Linked DNA regions of Schizosaccharomyces pombe. Each later gene encodes a partner of the first gene's protein in a complex. Each region holds a gene or a part of one and is shown in the gene's direction. Other genes may lie near its edges.

Region 1 (3,753 bases):
CAGTAAAATGAATCTTTCAGCGGGTAGTAAAACGAAGTCGAAACTTCAAAGAAGACGTAGAAGAAGGCACGAAGCTCGACCTTTACACTACCAGCTTAATCAAATGTATAACTCAAGCGCTTCTGAAGCCGAGTCTGATCAAGAACTTTTGTTATCTTCTGGAGACGAGCGTGTAGAAAGAGGGAAGATTGGCTCAATAAAGTCTGTGAAGTCTGACGAGGCGACTCCAGTTTTTTCTGATACATCTGATGAAAATGACAAATTCCATCGTTTTCGTACAAAATCTAAAATATCAAAGAAAAAATATGAAAAGATGGAAGTTGACTATACTTCGTCCAGCGAAACCGAATCAGATGCATCAATACTTTCTCCTAGTGCTGCGATTCCAAAATCAGGTAGCGCCATAAAAGATGAACTCATATCGCCTAAGAAAGAGATTGATGAAGTTTTAGCTTTAGCTCCCAAATGGCGTATTAATGAGTTTGATGAAACTGGAAGCGTTTATTATGGTGCACTTCCTTACAATTATCCAGAAGACGATGTACTTCTTGACTTGGATGGTCTACAGTACTTGGTAAAAAATGACGAAGATTACTCATATCTTCAAGAGGCACTCAAGGATGAACCCCTCATGGATATCAACGATCCCAATTTCTGGGCTTATGAACGCAAGTCATGTAAATTTAAGAATGGGGATGTTAAGTATGGAGATACGGCTATTCTTCCAGAACCTAAAGGTTATTTTCGCTCTAATACTAGCGGTTCTGCTAAAAGTGAGGGATACTATATTATTCCAACTACCGAAAAATCACTATATCTACCACTTCGTAATCGATCAACCATCGATACTATTAGTCATTCTACAAGCCGTATCACATCACGAATGAATCGTGTTAACAATAGAAGATTGGCTGCTGGAGTTGAAAAGTCTCAATTGCCAGCCGAAGCTGACTTGCTCAGATTCAATGCACTAAAGGCTCGTAAAAAGCAATTACATTTTGGCCCTAGTCGCATTCATACATTAGGGCTTTTTGCCATGGAAAACATTGATAAAAATGATATGGTCATAGAGTATATTGGAGAAATCATTCGACAACGGGTGGCTGATAATCGTGAAAAGAACTACGTTCGTGAAGGTATTGGAGACAGTTATTTGTTCCGTATTGACGAGGATGTTATCGTTGATGCTACAAAAAAGGGAAATATCGCGCGTTTCATCAATCATTCATGCGCTCCTAATTGTATAGCTAGGATTATTAGAGTTGAAGGGAAAAGAAAAATCGTAATTTATGCTGACAGGGATATTATGCATGGAGAGGAACTTACTTATGATTACAAGTTTCCGGAAGAAGCTGATAAGATTCCTTGTTTGTGTGGTGCTCCAACATGTCGTGGCTATTTAAACTAGACAATGATGCTCTTGGAGAATTGATGGTACATGAATATATGGGCAGCTGTACAATTATAATAGTTCGTTTAAAAAGCACGCATTATATCTGATGGTACACTAATGCTTTTTATTTTTTAATATAGAATAGAATCAATTTTCTGTCTTACATCGTCTGCATTTGATATTGGTTGAATATTTTGAGAGTCAGGATAAATGCGCATACCATTCAGTGGATTGCATTCAGGAGTGATTTAGAAGTAAAATGTTAAGAGATATACTGTCTTAGATATATCCATTTGCTCCACAATACTACGAAGTTCAAGTTTAAATAAACGAAAACGAAAAATAAAATTCTCTTAAAACTTGATAGCTACTGAATTTTAGGATCCAAACTTGATTTGGTATTACCTTGTTAATTTTATATGGAAGATTTATAATAATTGAAACTTCACAAAATTTGTAACAGAATAATAAACAAAAGACTTTTGACTTTGTAATCGGGAAGCCATCAATGAAGTAAATTGGGAAATACTATATTATTTGAAAACAAATTTCAAAAGAAAAATAATGTTATCATATTGGCATTTATTTAGAAACTTATTTGAATCTTTATCATTTGTTGATTAGAAAGAAATATACGGCATATCGTTAAAGCGCGATATACGTATAGGCACACCGACTTACCACTTGTGAACATAAACATTTACTTAAATCAATGAAAAGAGCTAGTTTAGGCGGGCATGCGCCCGTTAGCTTACCCTCCTTAAATGACGATGCATTAGAAAAAAAAAGAGCTAAAGAGAACAGCCGTAAGCAGCGCGAGTTGCGAAGAAGTTCAGCTCTGCACTCAATAACGCCAAGAAGAGAATCTCTAAACAATTCTTCACCATTTAATAGCTCTCATCAGGTTCCTGTTCTTTCTAATTTTGAGGAATGGATTAAATTAGCTACTGACAACAAAATTAATTCCACAAATACCTGGAATTTTGCGCTTATTGACTATTTTCACGACATGTCGCTTCTACGTGATGGTGAAGATATAAATTTCCAAAAGGCAAGCTGTACATTAGACGGATGCGTGAAAATTTATACTTCGCGTATTGATTCTGTTGCTACTGAGACCGGCAAGCTACTCAGTGGATTGGCAAACGATTCCAAAGTATTGCAGCAAACGGAAGAAGGCGAAGATGCTGAAAATGATGATGAGGATCTACAGAAAAAGAAAGAGAGAAAGCGTGCACAACGTTCGGTAAAGACTCTCGTTAAAGATTTCGAGTCAATACGCGCTAAAAAATTTGAGTTAGAATGTTCTTTTGATCCTTTATTCAAGAAAATGTGTGCAGATTTTGATGAGGATGGTGCTAAAGGCTTATTAATGAATCATCTTTGTGTTGATCAACATGGACGAATTGTATTCGATTCTAGCGATACTGTCATCAAGGATTTGGAAAATAAAGATGTTGAAGCTGAATCGCAGGAAGCGGTAGTCGCAGCGCCTATCGAAAGCCATGACACAGAAATGACTAATGTGCATGACAATATTTCTAGGGAGACCTTGAATGGTATTTACAAATGCTATTTTACCGATATTGATCAGTTGACAATATGTCCCTCCTTACAGGGCTTTGAATTTGATAGTAAAGGGAATCTTGATGTCTCTCTCTTAAAATCATTAAGTGATGAAGTTAACATGATAACGACAACCTCCTTAGTGGATAATACGATGGAGAAAACTGATGCTGATGCAGCTTCCCTTTCTTCCGATTCCGATGGTGAAGAAGGACATATTGTGCATGCTTTGGAGGAAATGGCTTACGATGAGGAGAACCCATATGTTGATGTAGTACCAAAAGCAATGGACGAATCCGAAAATCCAGATTTTGGTGTGGATACTGAAGTCAATATGGCTGATGGAAGTACTATGAATGAAAATTATTCTATTATTTCTACTGCCGCTGCGAATGGAGTATACGAATATTTTGACAAGTCAATGAAAAAGAACTGGGCTGGACCCGAACATTGGCGCATTCAGGCATTGAGAAAAAATATCAATAACGCATCAACTGTATTCAACTCTTCCAATACGGCTGAAAGTTCAGATAATGTATCGCGTTCTCTTTCTTCCACGGAACGGAAAAAGCGTCGAGAACTTGATAACGCCATTGATTTCTTGCAGGAAGTAGACGTCGAAGCACTGTTCACTCCTGCAACCAGCAGTCTCAAGCTTCCCAAGTCTCATTGGAAAAGACATAATCGATGTTTACTACCTGATGACTACCAATATGATTCTAAGAGGCTTTTACAGCTTTTCTTGAAACCAAAGATGTCAGTTCTACCCAACGCTGATGGAGAAGGACAGCTAC
Region 2 (3,753 bases), 1.1 Mb from region 1:
GCACTCTCTGGCGTTGGAAAAATTAGAACAATGTTGCGTTGTTTTCGATTTCAACGATCCCTCCACCGATCTTTACGGAAAAGAAGTGAAGCGAGAGGCTCTTCAAGATCTCATTGATTTAATATCTGTTCGAAAGGAAGCAATTGATGAGTCATTGTATCCATCCATTGTTCATATGTTTGCAGTAAATGTGTTTCGTCCTTTACCTCCTCCTTCTAATCCTCCCGGTGAAATCATGGATCTTGAAGAAGATGAGCCGGCTTTGGAAGTTGCTTGGCCCCATCTTCACCTTGTTTACGATTTTTTCTTAAGATTTTTTGAATCTCCGTCTTTGAATACATCCGTAGCCAAGGTGTATATTAATCAAAAATTTATTAGGAAATTACTTGTATTGTTCGACAGCGAAGATCCTAGGGAACGTGATTTTCTAAAGACTACACTTCATAGAATATACGGAAAGTTTCTTTCTCTTCGTGCGTTCATAAGGCGCTCAATTAATAATTTATTTTTGCAGTTTGTCTATGAGAACGAGCAATTTAATGGTATTGCCGAACTGTTGGAAATCCTCGGGAGTATCATTAATGGATTTGCCCTACCACTAAAAGAGGAACACAAAATATTCTTGTCACGTGTTCTTATTCCTTTACATAAAGCCAAATCCCTTCCCCTTTATTACCCTCAAATTGCTTATGGAATTGTTCAATTTGTTGAAAAGGATTCATCTGTTACAGAAGAGGTATGTATATTTCCTAGTGTTTCTTACGTTTTATCTAACGATGACAATATAGGTTGTCTTGGGCTTACTTCGATACTGGCCGAAAGTAAATAGCTCAAAAGAAGTCTTATTTTTAAATGAAATTGAAGATATTATTGAAGTGATGGAACCTTCAGAGTTTTTAAAGATCCAGGTGCCGCTCTTCCACAAGTTGGCAACATCCATATCTAGCCAAAATTTCCAAGTTGCTGAAAGAGCTTTATATTTTTTTAACAACGACTATTTCGTGCATTTGGTTGAAGAAAACGTTGACATTATACTACCAATTATATATCCCGCACTCTTTGAAATTTCAAAAAGTCACTGGAATAGGTAAGTAGTTACTCATTTAAAATCCCTTTTTATTTTCTTTATTTAAGATAAAGAAAGTGGTTTATTAGTTCTTGCTGACGTTTTGTTAGAGTTATACATTCTATGGTTTGTAACGTCTTAAAATTGTTCATGGACATTAATCCTTCTTTATTCGATGAAGTTGATGCTGAGTATTCTGAGAGTCGTCGGAAAAAAGAAGATGAAGAAATTATACGAGAAGAAAGATGGACTATACTAGAAAACATCGCTAAAGAGAATGCTATGAAACTTAAATCTCAAAACCCTACTACTGTGCACTCTACTACTGAGAGACTAAAAAAACTTTCACTTGACTACACCAATGGTTAGGACTTGCATATTTTAATAATGATCCATATATTGTACTTAGTCTCTAATATTCCCTCTTTTACATTTTACATACTATATCATTTTCAGTTAGTATTTCCTTTTCTTTTAATTGATTGTAATAAAATATAAATCGGTAACTTGGTAGCAATCTTCTTTTCAAATTGAATGTTGCAATCTCAAGTGGGCCTAAGCTAGAAGGGTTCATTTTTTTGTTTGCATACCCCAGCTTAACCTACCACTGAGAGCCAACTGTAGGTATGCCAGTGAGGTGCTCCTCAACTTCAGCAAAAGCACTAAAATTGGCATAATATAATTGTTATTGAATATGTCTTGCATTCAAATTATTTCATCTAGTCAAACTTCAATTGCTGGTCATAGAAAGCTATGCAACAAATTGTTTACCCTACGGACGCAGGAAGGATTTGAAACCGACATCCTAAGGGCGCTAAATATTATATTAACTGTTAAAAAAGGAAACTCAAATGCTGACCGCGTTTTGAGGTTCCTAGTAACCTTTGTTAATTACCTTCAGCAGAAGGATCCTGAGATAGACATTGTTCAACCTATCTTAAAACATATACTTCGTGGGTTAGATGCCAAAGATAAAACTGTAAGATATCGTTGCTGCCAAATTATTGCCAGAGTGGTTAATTGTGTAAAAGAAATTGATGATGACCTTTACAATACCCTCAAAGAAAAGCTTTTGTCCAGAGTTTTAGACCGGGAATCGATAGTCCGCCTTGAAGCTGTTGTTGCTTTATCTCGGCTTCAAGAAGACACCGGTGACGAAGAAAACGATGTTCGAAATATTCTTTTATTTTTATTGCAAAACGATCCTAGCTCTGAAGTGCGAAGGTCTGTTCTTTTAAATATTGAAGTTAGCAACTCAACTCTCCCTTTTATTCTTGAAAGAGCACGCGATGTTGATGCTGCCAATCGAAAATGTGTCTATGCCCGAGTATTACCGAAAATAGGAGATTTTCGTTATTTAAGCATAAAGAAGAGAGTAAGGATATTGAAATGGGGATTAAATGATCGTGATGAATCTGTTGAAAAAGCCGCGGCTGATATGCTTGCATATCAGTGGATTGAAAACGCTGATAACAATCTTTTGGAACTTCTAGAGAGACTTGATGTGTCTAACAACTCTGATGTTGCAGTTTTAGCAATTAAAAAATTCTTTGATGTACGCGTGGATAGTTTGTCTCAGCTGGAATTCCCCGAACAATTTTGGTTAGAGCTTACAGCTGAGTCTTCCTTGCTTGCTAGGACATTCAATGAAATTTGTATAGAGAAAAATTACACTGACCTTTTGGATAAAATGCCTGAAGTTGTTCAACTTACATATTATATCGAAAGGCAGTATGTTTCTCTTAGAGACAAGTCTTCTTATGATGAGTCATGTTTTATAATTGAACAACTGTTATACATTGGTCTAAGCCAGGACATGGTTGATGAAATTGGTCGCAGAAAGCTTTTAAAGAGTCTTACAAATAGTCTTTCTACTATGGCCCTTCCAGATTCACTAATCTCTTTACATATAGAACTATTAAGGAAACTTTGCTCTTCTGAAAACGATTTTTGCTCATTGCTAGTTGAAATTATTACGGAGGTGTTTGAACAAGGACATTCACAAAACCAGACTGAGGAACAAGGGAACAGCAATGCTCCAGAACTGAATAAAAATGATTATGAGGGTGAGGAGATTACTGTTTCGCAAAAGTCACCATCTCCATCTTTACCACCTAATGAACTAAATGAGCCTGAACCTGACGACATGGATGGATATAAAGAAGCTTTTAATGAGTTAAGATGCCTTTCGTACGTTCAGTGTCTATTTGAAAACATCACATCCTCCTTAAATGAAAACTTATATATGGTAGACATGCTTAAGACTTTAATTATCCCGGCTGTGAGGAGCCATGACTTGCCAATTAGAGAAAAAGGATTAGAGTGTCTTAGTTTGGTTTGCTTGTTGAATGCTGATCTTGCATTTGAAAACGTTCCTTTGTATTTACATTGTTACGAGAAAGGTTCTGTGGTTTTAAAGTGTACCGCAATTCGTACATTGACTGATATGTTAATACAACATGGAAAAGCCAAGTTCACCGAATATGAAGATGCTATTTCTTCTATACTTTTTGAAGCTTTAGGGGAATTCGAAAATGCCGAATTACAGACTCTCGGTGCTGAGGCGATAGCCAAGTTGTTGGTAATATTGCATTACAGAGACGAACTGGTATGTTGCTGTGTTTTTATAACTTACTTACAACAACTAGTTTCTAAAACCCCTCATCATTCAATATTTTGAGCCTAAC
Region 3 (3,753 bases), on another chromosome or scaffold:
CTTTCGCGATAGGTCGGCGATCCGATTACATATCTCTCATTAAATCCATCGCATGATGTCTTTGGTTGATTCATTTTCTCATTTAATTGATTGTGTACTTTGCAAGCCCACGTAGTTGCTGCTTTTCGAGAACTTGTTTGTGGAGGATGTACATCTAGTATCTTTTGGAGTTCCACAGAGTATTCACCACATGGCATTGTAATAGCGGAAGAAAATAGATAATGTCTTAAGATATCTCGCTCATCTAATGTTGGTCTGTTTGGATAATTGGAAACAACCGTATGAATTAACTTCCAGTATGCATTTACCATTAAATTATTCGTGTTATTATCGTGCTTCGTGGACATCATCTCAATTGGTTTTCTACCTTGACCTTCTCGATCCGGAAGCGATTTAATTTCAGGCATAAACAGACGCCAATCTTTGTCTACCATAACACTGTGAAAGATCCATATAATAAACGATAAGATTAGTAGGGTAGGGAGAATCACCTGAATTCTTCTATTAAGGATCATGTTTTATAGTATTTAGCTACTTCGTTTTCCCCGTAAGAACACCTTCATCTACCAAATTAATTGTAAAGGAGAACTGCAAGGACAGAAACTCACGCGGCTTTTTTGATCTGATATGCGGCATCGCTATGTTGCAATAACGAGAAGGAATTGATGGTAAACAAAACTAACCTCCTGGGTTATACAGAGCGAGTGCATCGTTATATCTAATGCTAATTAACAGAAAAACTTTTAAAGTAGTAAGATGGAACAGGCTGCTGGATGATCCAATGCATTACCAAATTGATTTAGATAAATGTATTGCCAACCCTTTAATTTTTTTTTTAGATATTAAATATCTTTTATATCAATTCTATATGCTTTTTATTTTAAGACTCAGAAGAGTTTTAATTATAAGTATAGTTAATAGTTAATAAATATGTAGTTTAGTGATAGAGATATAACCAAATAACAACAAAAAAATTAACTAAAGTATCATTATTATAAAGTCCATTGCTAGGTTTTATCACTATAAAATTTTTTTTAAGTTTGGAATTATTTACTAAAAAAAAGAAACTTAACGTAAATAAATAAAAACTAAGAGGACTTGTTAGTTTTTGTTTAAAAAATAAATAAATAAATAAAGAAGGAAGAGTTTAGCTAAGTTATCAAGTGAGCATAGATAGCATATAATAATCTATGTTTACAGATTTAAATGTTTTAAAGATAAATTACTTGCAATTGCTTGAAGATATGAATTTGCGTTTGATTAGTTTAAATCAAAATGTAAGAATTTTGGGTTAAATTAACATATGGCAAAAGGCTTGTCAAGTTTAAAGCTAAAAAAATACAAAACAATAGTGAATTTGAAAAGTTGTTCTAAAAAACTTGGACAAATCGTTTCCTTGCATTAACATTTCATTTAAAGAGCTAATCTATTTATATTACTTACTGATTATTCTTTATTCGTGGTTATTTCACACATAGGGCTACCCAAACAAGGTAAATTTTTGCGTCGTCTTGCTAGATTTAATGAAGGAATACAGAACAAAAAATCTTTGAGCTTTATATTTATTGTGTGAATTGAAAGAGGATGTTTGCTTGTGCTAGTAAAAACTTAGAAACAGCAATGTATTCTGCTCGTCCTTTTAATATTTTGCTAGTGTAAAGTGTCAGAGCAATATTCTCTTTTACTTAATTTTCGTTTTGAGTTAACTTTCAACGTCCAAGAATACCAAATTGACTAGCATAATAATTTAATGTATAATAGACACATGAGTTTATAATTACAGGTAAAAAGATGTTTGAAGTCTTCCTTTAAATCAGGTGTGTAGGTATAAAATAAATAGATCATTTTCATCTAACATGACCTGTTTACACAATTATACTTCAGTCTTTAGTTTATAAACATGGGCTTTAGTGTAATTTAACTGTGGGTTTTTGTATATTTTATTCATTAATTGACTTCATCGTTGGGTGAAATGCTGTTCAACCGTTGTAAACAACACACCTCTTTTCACGACCACCCACTCTTTTAGAATTTTAAGTAATATATAATTTGTTGAAGATACTATCTTTATGTCTGACAAGGGCATCTTTCGAACGTCTTCAACACCCTCGATTGTGGATGTTACGCCAGATCGTGGTGAAAGGCCACGAAAGTTGGTTCGCTCAGTGCTAGAATCTCCTTCTCAGAAAGATGTCGCATCAATTGTCAAGATAGAGCAAACACCATCTCGCCCATTTTTCAATGACTTTTTAAAAAAAAGAATTACCGATTCTTTAAACGAACGCCCTAATTTGCTCAACAAATTTATGTCTGCTCAAGATGGCACTCCATCTAAATCAACAGGTTTCAATGAACGGAGTTCACAACTTGTGTCAGAATTTACTACTACAGAGGATATTGAGAATTGTGAAGAAACCACTCAGGTTCTTCCTCCTAGACTGGTTGTTTACGAGCTACGCCTAACAAATTTTAAATCATATGCAGGAACTCAGATAGTGGGTCCGTTTCATCCTTCTTTTTCTTCAATTGTTGGACCAAATGGCTCTGGGAAATCTAATGTTATCGATGCTTTACTTTTTGTTTTCGGTTTTCGTGCTAGTAAACTTAGGCAATCCAAAGCGTCTGCCTTAATTCATAAATCTGCAACTCATCCTTCTCTCGATAGTTGTGATGTCGAAATTACTTTTAAAGAGGTAAACTCTGACTTTACTTATGTTGATGGAAGCGAACTAACAGTTCGTCGTACTGCTTATAAAAATAATACTAGTAAATACTTTGTAAATGGGGTTGAGAGTTCCTTTTCTGCAGTTTCTAATCTTTTAAAGGAGAAAGGAATAGACTTGAATCATAAGAGATTTTTAATTCTTCAAGGAGAAGTCGAATCAATAGCGCAAATGAAGCCCCGGGCTATATCAGAAGGTGATGATGGTCTTCTTGAATATCTTGAAGATATCATCGGAACCTCGAAATATAAGCCAATTATAGAAGAGAATATGCAAGAACTTTCGAATTCTGATGATATCTGTGCTGAGAAAGAATCTCGTTTAAAACTGGTGCTCTCTGAAAAGGCGAAATTAGAAGATAGCAAAAATTCGGTTCTTTCTTTTCTCAAAGACGAAAATGAGTTGTTTATGAAACAGAATCAGCTTTACCGTACTATTCTATACGAAACACGCAATAAAAAGACGTTAGTTCAAAACTTGCTTAATAGTTTGGAAGGAAAATTACAAGCACATTTAGAGAAATTTGAACAAACCGAGCGAGATATTTCGGAAAAAAATGAAGAGGTTAAATCATTGCGTGAAAAGGCAGCAAAAGTAAAAAACGATTGTACTTCAGAGAAGAAAACTCGCCAGTCTTATGAACAACAGACTGTGAAGATTGAAGAGCAGTTAAAATTTTTACTTAATAAAGAAAAAAAGTTAAAGAAATCCATTGAGGCTCTTTCATTCGAAAAATCAGAAGCAGAAAATTCTTTAAGCTCTCATGATATTGATTCCCAAAAGTTGAATTCTGAAATTGCCGATCTCAGTTTAAGACTTCAACAGGAAGAATTGAGTTTGGATGACATTAGGAAAAGTCTACAGGGAAAAACGGAAGGTATTTCAAATGCTATTGAAGAAAAGCAAAAGGCTATGGCTCCCGCCCTCGAGAAAATAAACCAATTGACATCAGAAAAACAAATTTTACAGGTTGAGTTGGATATGTTATTAAATAAAGAAAATGATCTAATTAACGATGTTGAGTCCTCTC

The links.
Region 2: the proteins of cnd2 (region 1) and cnd3 are in contact, whole or in part, in a crystal structure (PDB 5OQR), measured with the Schizosaccharomyces pombe proteins. Residues at the interface, in NP_587811.1 of Schizosaccharomyces pombe: Arg477 (codon at 3,534), Asn481 (codon at 3,546), Ala482 (codon at 3,549), Ile483 (codon at 3,552), Asp484 (codon at 3,555), Phe485 (codon at 3,558), Leu486 (codon at 3,561), Gln487 (codon at 3,564), Val489 (codon at 3,570), Val491 (codon at 3,576), Leu494 (codon at 3,585), Phe495 (codon at 3,588), Thr496 (codon at 3,591), Pro497 (codon at 3,594), Lys503 (codon at 3,612), Leu504 (codon at 3,615), Trp509 (codon at 3,630), His512 (codon at 3,639), Arg514 (codon at 3,645), Cys515 (codon at 3,648), Leu516 (codon at 3,651), Leu517 (codon at 3,654), Pro518 (codon at 3,657), Asp519 (codon at 3,660), Asp520 (codon at 3,663), Tyr521 (codon at 3,666), Gln522 (codon at 3,669), Tyr523 (codon at 3,672), Ser525 (codon at 3,678), Arg527; in NP_588207.1 of Schizosaccharomyces pombe: Ile4 (codon at 1,770), Gln5 (codon at 1,773), Ser8 (codon at 1,782), Gln11 (codon at 1,791), Thr12 (codon at 1,794), Arg39 (codon at 1,875), Ala40 (codon at 1,878), Asn42 (codon at 1,884), Ile43 (codon at 1,887), Ile44 (codon at 1,890), Leu45 (codon at 1,893), Val47 (codon at 1,899), Asn51 (codon at 1,911), Ser52 (codon at 1,914), Asn53 (codon at 1,917), Ala54 (codon at 1,920), Arg56 (codon at 1,926), Val57 (codon at 1,929), His84 (codon at 2,010), Arg87 (codon at 2,019), Gly88 (codon at 2,022), Asp90 (codon at 2,028), Ala91 (codon at 2,031), Lys92 (codon at 2,034), Asp93 (codon at 2,037), Val96 (codon at 2,046), Leu131 (codon at 2,151), Asp132 (codon at 2,154), Arg133 (codon at 2,157), Phe165 (codon at 2,253).
Region 3: cnd2 (region 1) and cut3 share a complex: the UniProt entries of both Schizosaccharomyces pombe proteins name them as parts of the condensin complex.

What each region holds. Positions count from the first base shown.
Region 1 is NC_003421.2:410,420-414,172, reverse strand, and holds the start of cnd2 (condensin complex non-SMC subunit Cnd2), read left to right. Parts: upstream 1-2,081; 5' UTR 2,082-2,105; coding exon 2,106-3,753. Other genes in the region: histone H3-K4 methyltransferase Set1, read left to right, coding at 1-1,408. UniProt on the Schizosaccharomyces pombe protein: Regulatory subunit of the condensin complex, a complex required for conversion of interphase chromatin into mitotic-like condense chromosomes.
Region 2 is NC_003421.2:1,476,544-1,480,296, forward strand, and holds the start of cnd3 (condensin complex non-SMC subunit Cnd3), read left to right. Parts: upstream 1-1,659; 5' UTR 1,660-1,760; coding exon 1,761-3,674; exon of another isoform or gene 3,675-3,714; coding exon 3,715-3,753. Other genes in the region: serine/threonine protein phosphatase PP2A regulatory subunit B-56 Par1, read left to right, coding at 1-736, 789-1,087, 1,177-1,435. UniProt on the Schizosaccharomyces pombe protein: Regulatory subunit of the condensin complex, a complex required for conversion of interphase chromatin into mitotic-like condense chromosomes.
Region 3 is NC_003423.3:1,004,780-1,008,532, reverse strand, and holds the start of cut3 (condensin complex SMC subunit Smc4), read left to right. Parts: upstream 1-2,009; 5' UTR 2,010-2,069; coding exon 2,070-3,753. Other genes in the region: erv2 (sulfhydryl oxidase), read right to left, coding at 1-515. UniProt on the Schizosaccharomyces pombe protein: Central component of the condensin complex, a complex required for conversion of interphase chromatin into mitotic-like condense chromosomes.